Arabidopsis thaliana: one gene and its partner. The protein of the gene in region 1 purifies or fractionates together with the protein of each later gene. This does not show direct contact. Each region holds a gene or a part of one and is shown on either strand. Other genes may lie near its edges.

Region 1 (4,982 bases):
ACATCAGAAACTTCTTCAGCCTTTGTCAGGGAGAAGGTGCAATTCTTGCTGCAAAACAAAAAACGTGTTATTAGATTCTTAGTGTCACTACACTGAAATAGGGCTTCTTGGTTTCTTCATCGTTTAAATTGTACAGGTGATGTACCTGGTGGACCTTTTGCAAGTCTCCCTCGGGAAGCCCAAGAACTGGCTCTCTGTTTCCTTTACTACTTCACCACAGACAAATTCAGCTCCCCTATGATGAAAGCAATAGTTTCATGCTGTTTATGTGAGTATCACTTTTTATTTCCTGATGCTTTTATTCAACATTAAAAGTGGCTTCTGTTTATAATAAAATGCAAGAAAAGGGTAATTGACCTGACTCAACGTAAATTGCAGATCCACAACTTGAACCAGCTGTGTTGTATCGGATAGTGGAAATTCTTCACACTGCCTATAGAGCTGGATATATCCAGATTACAGATCATTTTAGCTTCCTTATCACCTTAATTGCACGTTTCAAAGTTGTCCCAGGTATCTGCAAGATTTTTTTTTTCTCTTTTGAGCTTAAGAAAAAACTTTTGAACTTTTTATTACATTTTTGTAATTTGTTTTGGTGTGAGCTTATTTGAGAGATAATCATACTTTTTATGTTTTGTGATAGCTTACCTTGTGGCTTTATGTGCATGCAGAGAAACTGCAGTCATCGATAGAGTGTAATGAACGGGAGACATATTGTGGCACATTTAAAGAAGTTACAAAGCTTGTGTGCTCATGTTTGTCAGAAATGGGTGATAGTTCTCTTGTCCTTCAGATTGTAGAGAAAGTTTTACTCGAACAAATAGTAAGTTTGTCTTTTGATAATGCTTATATCTAAATGGATAATAACATTCTCATTTAATAGCACTGCATATACTTAAGGAGATTTTGTTCTTCTTGGTGTAGGTTTTGAAGCCTGCGTTGGATAATGGGTGTGCCATACTCAGGATGATCTGCGTGTTGGACTCTACCCCTACCACACTTTCTGAAAGGAGTGTAACCACTCTAAGTGAGTTCTTACCGGGATATATGATCAACATAGTCAATGTAAGCATTTCCCCTTTAAAAACTTTGCAGGGTCCTAAATGTTTCATTATAATCTTGGGATTGACACATCTCTTACGCTCTTCTTGCAGTGTATACCAGAGGATAAGGAGAACTCTTACCTTTACATACAAACATGTCTCTACTATTTAGTACCTTGCTATTTCTTGTTCAATCGGAGCTCCAAACTCACAGAACAGGTTCTGATAAGAATGCGATCAATGATTAGTGAAAACACAAAAGCGCTAGAATCGGTACAAGACAGGGAGAGCGGTCGAAACTCATTGAATATGATACAATGCATTATCTCTGTGATCCTGCTGATGCACAACGACGTCAAAGTTAGGAAGATAATATCGTCATTCAAGCCCGAGATCGATTTGATTCTTCAGAACGTTATCACGTTGCAGGTATCATTTTCTCCAATCTCTTATCATTATTGCAAACTGCATAACACATGTGCTGATAAGTTTTACCTCTTAAATGTGTAGTCCTCACGAAGCACGAGCTTGACTGTAGAAGGAAAGCATATGATGAAAATTGCGGGAGAGCGACTTAGGATTGCGTCCAAAAGCTTACTCGCGTAATTAAGTTCTACAACTGTAACATAAAATGATTTGTGCTCTCTTTATAAAGGATGCAAAAGATACGACTTAGCTTGGTTGTTTGAGAAAGCACCAATTTTGATGACAATTTTGTAGAATTTTGGTTTAGAGTTTAATTGAAGTGAAAAAGACATATATCTTCAAAACTGTGATACGCTTCTTCACATGAAAAAGGTTTTCTACATTAACCAAGCATCCATAACGCTTGGTTCCAGAAGCCAACCTTCTTTTAAACTGCAACGAGAAGATTTGAACTACGACTTTCCTAACCAGTAAATCTTAAAACCACTGCACCACCATGGGTTGGCTAAATGTTCAACATATGATTCATTTCGCCACCAAACAACTCTGGTTTATTGGATTTTGCAGTAAACTACATAGTTACTAATCCAAGAGTCAAAGTTCTCGAAAAAGTCATCATTTATTCTACCATCTGAAGTGATGGGCTTTTAAGAATGATTTAGCCCATTAATATTGACAAGAAAGCCCATTATATTAGTAAGACCCAAATATTCGACCCGTTTATAAAACCCTAGCTCGCAGGCTCTGAGTATCTCTCTCCGTCCAATTTCCGTCTCTCTCTCTTTTTATCTCACCGTCTGATCGCTTAGAAGCAACCATGGTACGTTCTCCGCCGCCGGAGTACCTTTTTTTTCTTCTTACAGCTTTCGTTTCTCAGATATAACAGCTTGAGCGTTTTGATCTCTAACAATTTCTGTGGTTTCTTCTATTGGTGGATGAAAAACAGCCTCAGGGAGATTACATAGATTTGCACAGGAAGAGGAATGGATATCGCCTCGACCACTTCGAGAGAAAGCGCAAGAAGGAGGCGCGTGAAGTTCACAAGCACTCCACCATGGCTCAAAAGGTTCTTACTTTCTTCTCCTTCGTCTTCTTCCATTTTTAGCTTCCTTTTACTGATTCTTCTTCTGCTTTTGCTCTAATTGCAGTCTCTAGGTATCAAGGGTAAGATGATTGCTAAGAAAAACTATGCTGAGAAAGCTCTCATGAAGAAAACGTAAGTGTTTCGTCGTATTCTCTGAGAATCTATCATTAAGTGAAAGATGTTAAGTAGTATAATTGATTGGATATTCCTAAGTTAATAGGTGTGGTTTTATGAGAATCTTACATTGGTTTGATTTTTATTTTTGTCATAACAGATTGAAAATGCATGAAGAGTCATCATCAAGGCGTAAGGCTGATGAGAATGTTCAGGAAGGAGCTGTTCCTGCTTATCTTCTTGATCGTGAAGACACCACTCGTGCCAAGGTTTGTTTGTTTTTTCTTTTCAAGTTGAGATATCTATAATTCTGTAACTTGGTGACGGCATTACATTAACAAGTGTGTGTTTTTGGGTGTAGGTTCTTAGCAACACCATTAAACAAAAGAGGAAAGAGAAAGCTGGCAAATGGGAGGTCCCTCTTCCAAAGGTGAAATCTCTCTCTCTGCTTTTGTATTCCTTCAGTGTTTGAACTCTAACAAATGGGCAAAGCTTAAATTCAAGCCCTGTCCTTTTACAGGTCCGTCCAGTTGCTGAAGATGAAATGTTTAGAGTGATCCGATCTGGAAAAAGGAAAAGTATGTATTTACTTTCTAATCCAGATATAGCTACTTGTTTGTTTTGTTATCACTCTATGTCTTTGTTTAAACACTTATCATCATATAGAGCTATTGATTAAGGAAATGACTCTAGACTAGATTGAGTTTGCTTTGTGGATTGGTTTTATTAGTGTTGAATAGGTTCTTACAAATACTGAAAATGCTTTCCCTTATTACAGCTAAACAATGGAAGCGGATGGTTACAAAAGCTACATTTGTTGGACCTGCTTTCACAAGGAAGCCTCCAAAGTACGAGCGTTTCATCCGTCCATCTGGTCTTCGTTTCACCAAGGCCCACGTCACTCACCCTGAACTAAAATGCACTTTCTGTCTCGAGATCATCGGGATTAAGAAGAATCCTAACGGTCCCATGTATACATCACTCGGTGTGATGACCAGGGGAACAATCATCGAGGTTAGTCCCCAAGATCTTTACGTATTAAGTTGTCATTTATGCTAAAGTTGCAAATAACTCAATATGCGAATGGATTTTTCAGGTCAATGTGAGTGAGCTTGGTCTTGTTACACCAGCTGGAAAGGTTGTCTGGGGTAAGTGACAATATACACAACCTTAGTGCAAACTATAATTTTGATTTCAGAGTCTTAACTCTCTCTTCAATTTGACTTCAGGAAAATACGCTCAAGTGACAAACAATCCAGAGAACGACGGATGTATAAATGCTGTTTTACTTGTGTAACCAAATGTCCGGCACTGTCGTAGAAGTATGGATAGAGACGAGAGGAAGGCGAGAATCATGTTGGCTAGTTTTATTTTGTTTTCTCCTGAAACAATTTTGTGTTATTTCAAGTTTTTTTATGAATGTGTGGTTGGTCTTCTCTTCACATTAACTAGCTGCTATGTTAGCTTTATAAGTATCCCACATTATGAAATTTGTTGCTTCTAATGTTCATTTTGAGCCTCTTTACCGTTACTATCGGAGCTAGTATGCCTTAAGAACCCATGGGAGCAAAAGTGAGATAAATCTGAAGGTAAACATATAAAATCGAACCACAAGGCAAGTCAAACCAAACTTCAATTACCGAGAATATGAACTAGACCAATCCAAAAGTACGTAGAAGATTGAGGAACTTGCAGCTAAATGTAGAGCAAAGAAAAAGACAGATAAGGCTAAAGTCGAAGCTGAAGTAGAGAATCGCTTGCAACAATTACGAATCTGATCAAAAGTGTTGTCGTTTTTATGACTAAATAAGGATACTCTTGTATTGTATCAACAACAATTTTTAGTTTTGTAAAAAGATTTGGGATTTTTCAGAAACCATATATATTTTGTAGCCTCTGGATTTTTCTTTCTTCTATGATTTAGTAACTGGTACCCTTTTTTACCTATTATTGTACATAATTATATAAGTTTGAATCACACCGAGATCAATTGTGCAAGGAGTGTTCTTATTAGAACATTTATAGAAGCTAAGGGACAAATAGAAAATACAACAGTGGGATAAGCTGGTGAAGCTTAAGCTTATCAACTCGTGCTTGGTAAAGCTATGGCTGCCAATGGAGGATCAAGTACTTGGAAAAGTCCTGAAGACAGCCTTCTTGTGAGGTCCTCTGCTTCAACTTTCGCGACGTCAGCTCTCATTCCGATATCAGTAGCGTATCTACTCGCACAATACACACCAATCGCTGTAGCAGCCATCCCATACACGTTTGTAGTCAGAAGCCGCATTGGCGTGGACAAAACCGCAGCAATCGGC
Region 2 (4,803 bases), on another chromosome or scaffold:
ACCGTGTGTTGTCTGTTCGTGAGAATGCGAGATTACAGGGGTTCCCTGATTGTTACAAGCTCTGTGGAACAATTAAGGAAAAGTAAGTCCTTGGTTCTTGCTGCTTTTCTATCTATGTATATGATTGTTTTTAAACTGGAGATCCTAATGTATGTAAAAACTGGGTTTGAATCTAAATTTTGTAGGTACATCCAGGTTGGGAATGCTGTGGCAGTTCCTGTAGGGGTTGCATTAGGATATGCCTTTGGTATGGCGAGTCAAGGACTGACGGATGATGAACCAGTAATCAAGCTGCCATTCAAGTATCCCGAATGCATGCAGGCAAAGGATCAAATCTGATTGACAGTCTCCATCAAGTCGTCATGATGAAACTATCTTTAGGAATCATACTTCATTTTCTAGACTTTCTTTTAATTTTTTGGGTTAGCAAGAGCTATATGCTCAAACAATGGCGGCTTAAACTGTCTAGCTCTTTCTTGTTGGTTTATCTTTGACTTTATAATCATTTGGAACCATTTTATTTCTTATGATTTTTAATCTCAAGATTTCAAATTCTATTGCGTAGACTTCAATCCTACGTGATGCCATCCAACAAGAATTAAGACCAAGCAAAAGACAGACAAAACCTGTTATTGAGCATCCGAGGTGCTAGGTACGTCCGTGATCTCTCGACGAACATTGGTTCGATTTTGCGTAATTCAGTTGCCACCGACCGACCGAAACTCTGGTCAATGATCACCACTTACCAGCTTTTATTAGTGTTATTCATTCATTCGCAAAAGCTAAGTAAATTCGAAGGCAGTTAGGCCCACAAGCCCATATAATGGTGAAAGATTTGGTTCACCCAAATAATGTCCCCACTCCTTCGGTTGGGCTTTTACGTTATAATATTCGGCCCAAATTTGATATCTCATAACAGAGCAAATTTTTCACATAGAAGAAGCAGAGAAACCAATTGATCTACTTTTTTTTTTTTTTTGTTTCTTCCTCTTCATCAGGCTTGTTCTTCGATTCCCTCACTTAAAGAAGGGTTTCGAATTTGCTCGAAAGATTGAAAGGAAAAAAAGAAAGAGGTGAACCATTCTCAACATAAATTTGTTGTTTAGGAGATGTAAGAATGATAATTTCTTGGATCTAATCGCGTTCAGAAAGTGAGAAAGTTTTAGGATTCATAAATATCTTTGTGTTCTTCTCCACCCTAATAAACACATTGATACAGAGATGGAGGATGAACATGTTATGATTGATCTTGATGACGTTTCAAGGCACATTGACATTCCAGCAGATGCTCCTTATACTTTATCAGTTAGTTCAATCCAATTCTTTCATTTCACTTTTTGCATTCTCTTGTTTTATAAGTTTGGTTTTGTTTGGTTCTCATAGGGTTTGGATACTTTGAATCCGGTGTTGACCATAGATGGCAAAATGAAGCTGGTAATTCTCTTACTTGCAACTAGTACAATTTTCCAAGTTCAGTTACTCTTTTTGCTTAAACCATTCTTAATCGTGTTAGATTTGATGATCTCTCAGGTAGGAGAATATATAGCAACGATTGGTACATGCCTTGCTTTCTCTGACAAAGGTTAGTTTCACTTTTCCTCTTTATTATCAAACATGGAAACACATGTTATTGTTTCAAGTAATTATTCTGTCCCTTCAAGATGCTGATTTGGGGTTGCGGTTTCTTCATTTGTCTGTTTGCACAAGGTGATAACCAGACGCCACAGAAGAAGACAGTTGAACCTGTTGCCAAACTCCACAAGATTCTCAAGTTTAGGTTAGCACCATTAGACAACGAAGATGGAGTAACAAAAACAACCAATTTGTAAAAGTTTTTCTCTTGTTCAAGTCATTGGAAACCTGACTTTTCTTCAAAGATCATATTAAAAAAAAGAACTATAACAATAACCGACAGATTATATATGTAGCTAAGGCACATGCAGCATCTTCCTTTGTTGGCCTCTTGAAAGTAGCAATCAAACTAAGACCAAACCAAAAGGTAACTAAACGATTCACAACTTCAACGTACGTTTTCATGATTTGTCCTTCTGATGATGTCAATAAAATAAAAACTGAATTGAATCAACCAGTGATGGAGAAATTATGCATCCCATGTAATTAAAAGAAACAAAATCACACAAGATATTATAAAATAAAACTAGGTATATTCAAAGGCAGTAAGGCCTTACATAAGCCCATAAATATTGGGCTTTTTTAGCCCAATAGTATTATGAGTCTGGCCCGGAGCGTAATTAGGTCTGGTGGCAAAGTTGTTAATAACACAAAAGAGATTTTAGTTAATAAACCCTAGGCTTCTCAAATCGGCCATTGCTACCAACTTCGACTTGGAATTCTTTCAGCCGCCGTCCCAATTGCTTTGCCGCCACCGGTAAATTTGTTCCCCCTTTTCCGTTCTTCTTATCTTGTTCATTCTGTTGGTGTCCCTATAGCCTCACTTTCTTATAGGGTTGAGTTCAGTCTCTGTTTATAAACTTTTTTCGCAAAAAAATTCAATCTGACAATCTGTTTTGTGTTGTAGAAGCAAAGAGTAGAGAGATAATGGCTGAGGAAGAAGCTAAGGGTTTGGATTACATACCGGAGATAGTACTGAAGAAGAGGAAGAACAGAGATGAGCTTGCCTTTATCAGGAAGAAGCAACTTGAGTTGGGTAATTCCGGCAAGAAGAAGAAGAAAGTCTCTGATATCAAACGTCCTGAAGATTTTGTTCATGAGTTCAGGGCTAAGGTACACTTCTTTTTTTCCAGATTCTCTGAAAAACTTTTGCTTTGTCTTTTTCCATTCGTTTTACTGCCTCAAGTTCTGATTTTTGCTTCTTGACTTTTGTCTACACCTTAGAAGAACTTGTTTTTGCTTATTCTTTGAGTTAAATTAAAGCTATACATCAACCTTTATGATTAGGTTTTGTCACTTATCTCTTAGACTGTAACTTTTCTACAGATAATTTTGTGTTTCTCCTTTGAGATTTCTCCCTAGTTTTGCAAGGTTGTGCTTAGGACTTGTTGTTTCTTCTGTCAATCCTGCATTGTTCTCTGTAATTTAACTGTTCCCTTTTTGCTAATTTTATCCCTACTTAAGGAAGTAGATATGATCCGGATGAAGCAAAGAGTAAAGAGGCCAAAGTCATCTCCTCCACCAGTTAAATCTGACCTGGTTTTCATCATACGCATTCAAGGGTATTTGATATTCTCCAATTAGCTTTGTTTTCCCCCTGGAGTTTTAATCTTTATCTCTGCCTGTTTCTTATCCTTGCCTTTTCTTTCTGGTGACCAGCAAGAATGATATGCACCCAAAGACCAAGAGGATTCTTAACAATTTGCAACTAAAGAGCGTCTTTACTGGTGTATTTGCTAAAGCAACTGACAGTTTGTTCCAAAAGCTTCTCAAAGTGCAGCCTTATGTCACTTATGGGTACGTAGAGACAATCAATCCTCTTTCAATATTTCCTTGTTACTCGATTTCCATGCTGTTTCTCTATTCTCGTATGAGCTAACCGATGTTTACGATTCTTGAAGATACCCGAATGATAAGAGTGTTAAGGACCTTATATACAAAAAGGGATGCACAATCATTGAGGGAAATCCTGTTCCTCTTACCGACAACAATATAATCGAACAGGTAAAATTTCCTACTCTTAAAAGTATAGGAGCTTATTCCAGATAATAACCATGCTGTTCTTAATCGTTTCCACTTTTGTTACCTTAGGCTCTAGGAGAACACAAAATCTTGGGCATAGAAGACCTTGTGAATGAGATAGCAAGAGTCGGAGATCATTTCAGAGAAGTTATGAGATTCTTGGGACCCTTGAAACTCAACAAGCCTGTGGCTGATGTTTTGCACCGGAAGAAACAAGTTTTCAGCGAAGGAGGAGATACCGGAAACCGCGAAGATAAGATCAATGATCTCATCAGCAAAATGAATTAGAAGCAGCAATCGTTGTAATCGCTAGCTACTTACTATATTTTCCTTAAAAGATCTGTACGAGGCTAAAAACCAACCATTTTGATGAAACACTTGCAATTTTGGTTAAAGGGCATTCCAAATTTTATAAGCATCGTCGACTTCAGATATTATATTATACACATATATTTATGTGATGTAAACAGAGTAATATAGAAGCGAGTGTTTTTCATCTTCTGAAGCTCCTCCTCTCTTTGGGTGCTTCATCTTCCTCTGGCAACTTGACAATTGTGTATGTACCTGCTCCGATTAACGCTCCAAGAATGGGGGCAGTGAGGTAAACCCAAATAGCTCTGTAATTGTTTGCTGCAATGGCTGGACCCAGTGTTCTTACAGGGTTCATCGAAGCAGAAGTTGCAGGTCTGTTGGACACAACATCATGATCAGTAACATGTATTATTATGTACAAGAACTGAATTCAAGAAATGATGGTTTATTTACCCAGCTATAAGTATGTTAAGCATGACCGTTGCTCCTACGGCAATTCCCGCCAACTCTCCCACCTGTAATCTTGTGATTAGTTTTCATTGACGTCCAAAATTTCAAGACTCTTCAAAAACGTTTTTTATAAGTAATTTACAGCTCTCGTGTCGGTGGCTACGGCTGTGACAACGAACATGAGGTTGAAGCTGATAATGAATTCCAAGGCGAAAGCTTGGCTGAGACCCACCGTCGGCACCGTCACGCCACCGCTCATCGTTGGTTCAAACACTGCTTTCAGTGCAAACGCCGCACTCACGGAGGCCATCACCTGAGCTCCGATATACACCGGCACCTAACATAAATTTAGACACCAACATTATTATTTTTATAACAATTATATAG

Evidence for each region. Proteins that work in one complex are often made in the same cells at the same time.
Region 2: the proteins of AT5G06360 (region 1) and AT1G80750 fractionate together in Arabidopsis thaliana (co-fractionation; one large-scale study listed by BioGRID). This does not show direct contact.

What each region holds. Positions count from the first base shown.
Region 1 is NC_003076.8:1,942,549-1,947,530, forward strand, and holds AT5G06360 (Ribosomal protein S8e family protein), read left to right. Parts: upstream 1-2,205; 5' UTR 2,206-2,286; coding exon 2,287-2,289; intron 2,290-2,415; coding exon 2,416-2,535; intron 2,536-2,617; coding exon 2,618-2,685; intron 2,686-2,827; coding exon 2,828-2,936; intron 2,937-3,028; coding exon 3,029-3,097; intron 3,098-3,187; coding exon 3,188-3,245; intron 3,246-3,445; coding exon 3,446-3,681; intron 3,682-3,763; coding exon 3,764-3,815; intron 3,816-3,896; coding exon 3,897-3,964; 3' UTR 3,965-4,236; downstream 4,237-4,982. Other genes in the region: AT5G06350 (ARM repeat superfamily protein), read left to right, coding at 1-36, 137-268, 379-513, 672-823, 925-1,065, 1,155-1,472, 1,554-1,649; AT5G06370 (NC domain-containing protein-like protein), read right to left, coding at 4,751-4,982.
Region 2 is NC_003070.9:30,346,493-30,351,295, forward strand, and holds AT1G80750 (Ribosomal protein L30/L7 family protein), read left to right. Parts: upstream 1-2,177; 5' UTR 2,178-2,389; intron 2,390-2,539; 5' UTR 2,540-2,559; coding exon 2,560-2,745; intron 2,746-3,096; coding exon 3,097-3,194; intron 3,195-3,291; coding exon 3,292-3,429; intron 3,430-3,533; coding exon 3,534-3,636; intron 3,637-3,723; coding exon 3,724-3,942; 3' UTR 3,943-4,072; downstream 4,073-4,803. Other genes in the region: CMT1 (chromomethylase 1), read left to right, coding at 1-82, 186-339; AT1G80745 (Transcription factor TFIIIC, tau55-related protein), read left to right, coding at 1,222-1,305, 1,384-1,434, 1,531-1,582, 1,708-1,829; NIP6;1 (NOD26-like intrinsic protein 6;1), read right to left, coding at 4,148-4,340, 4,420-4,481, 4,559-4,753.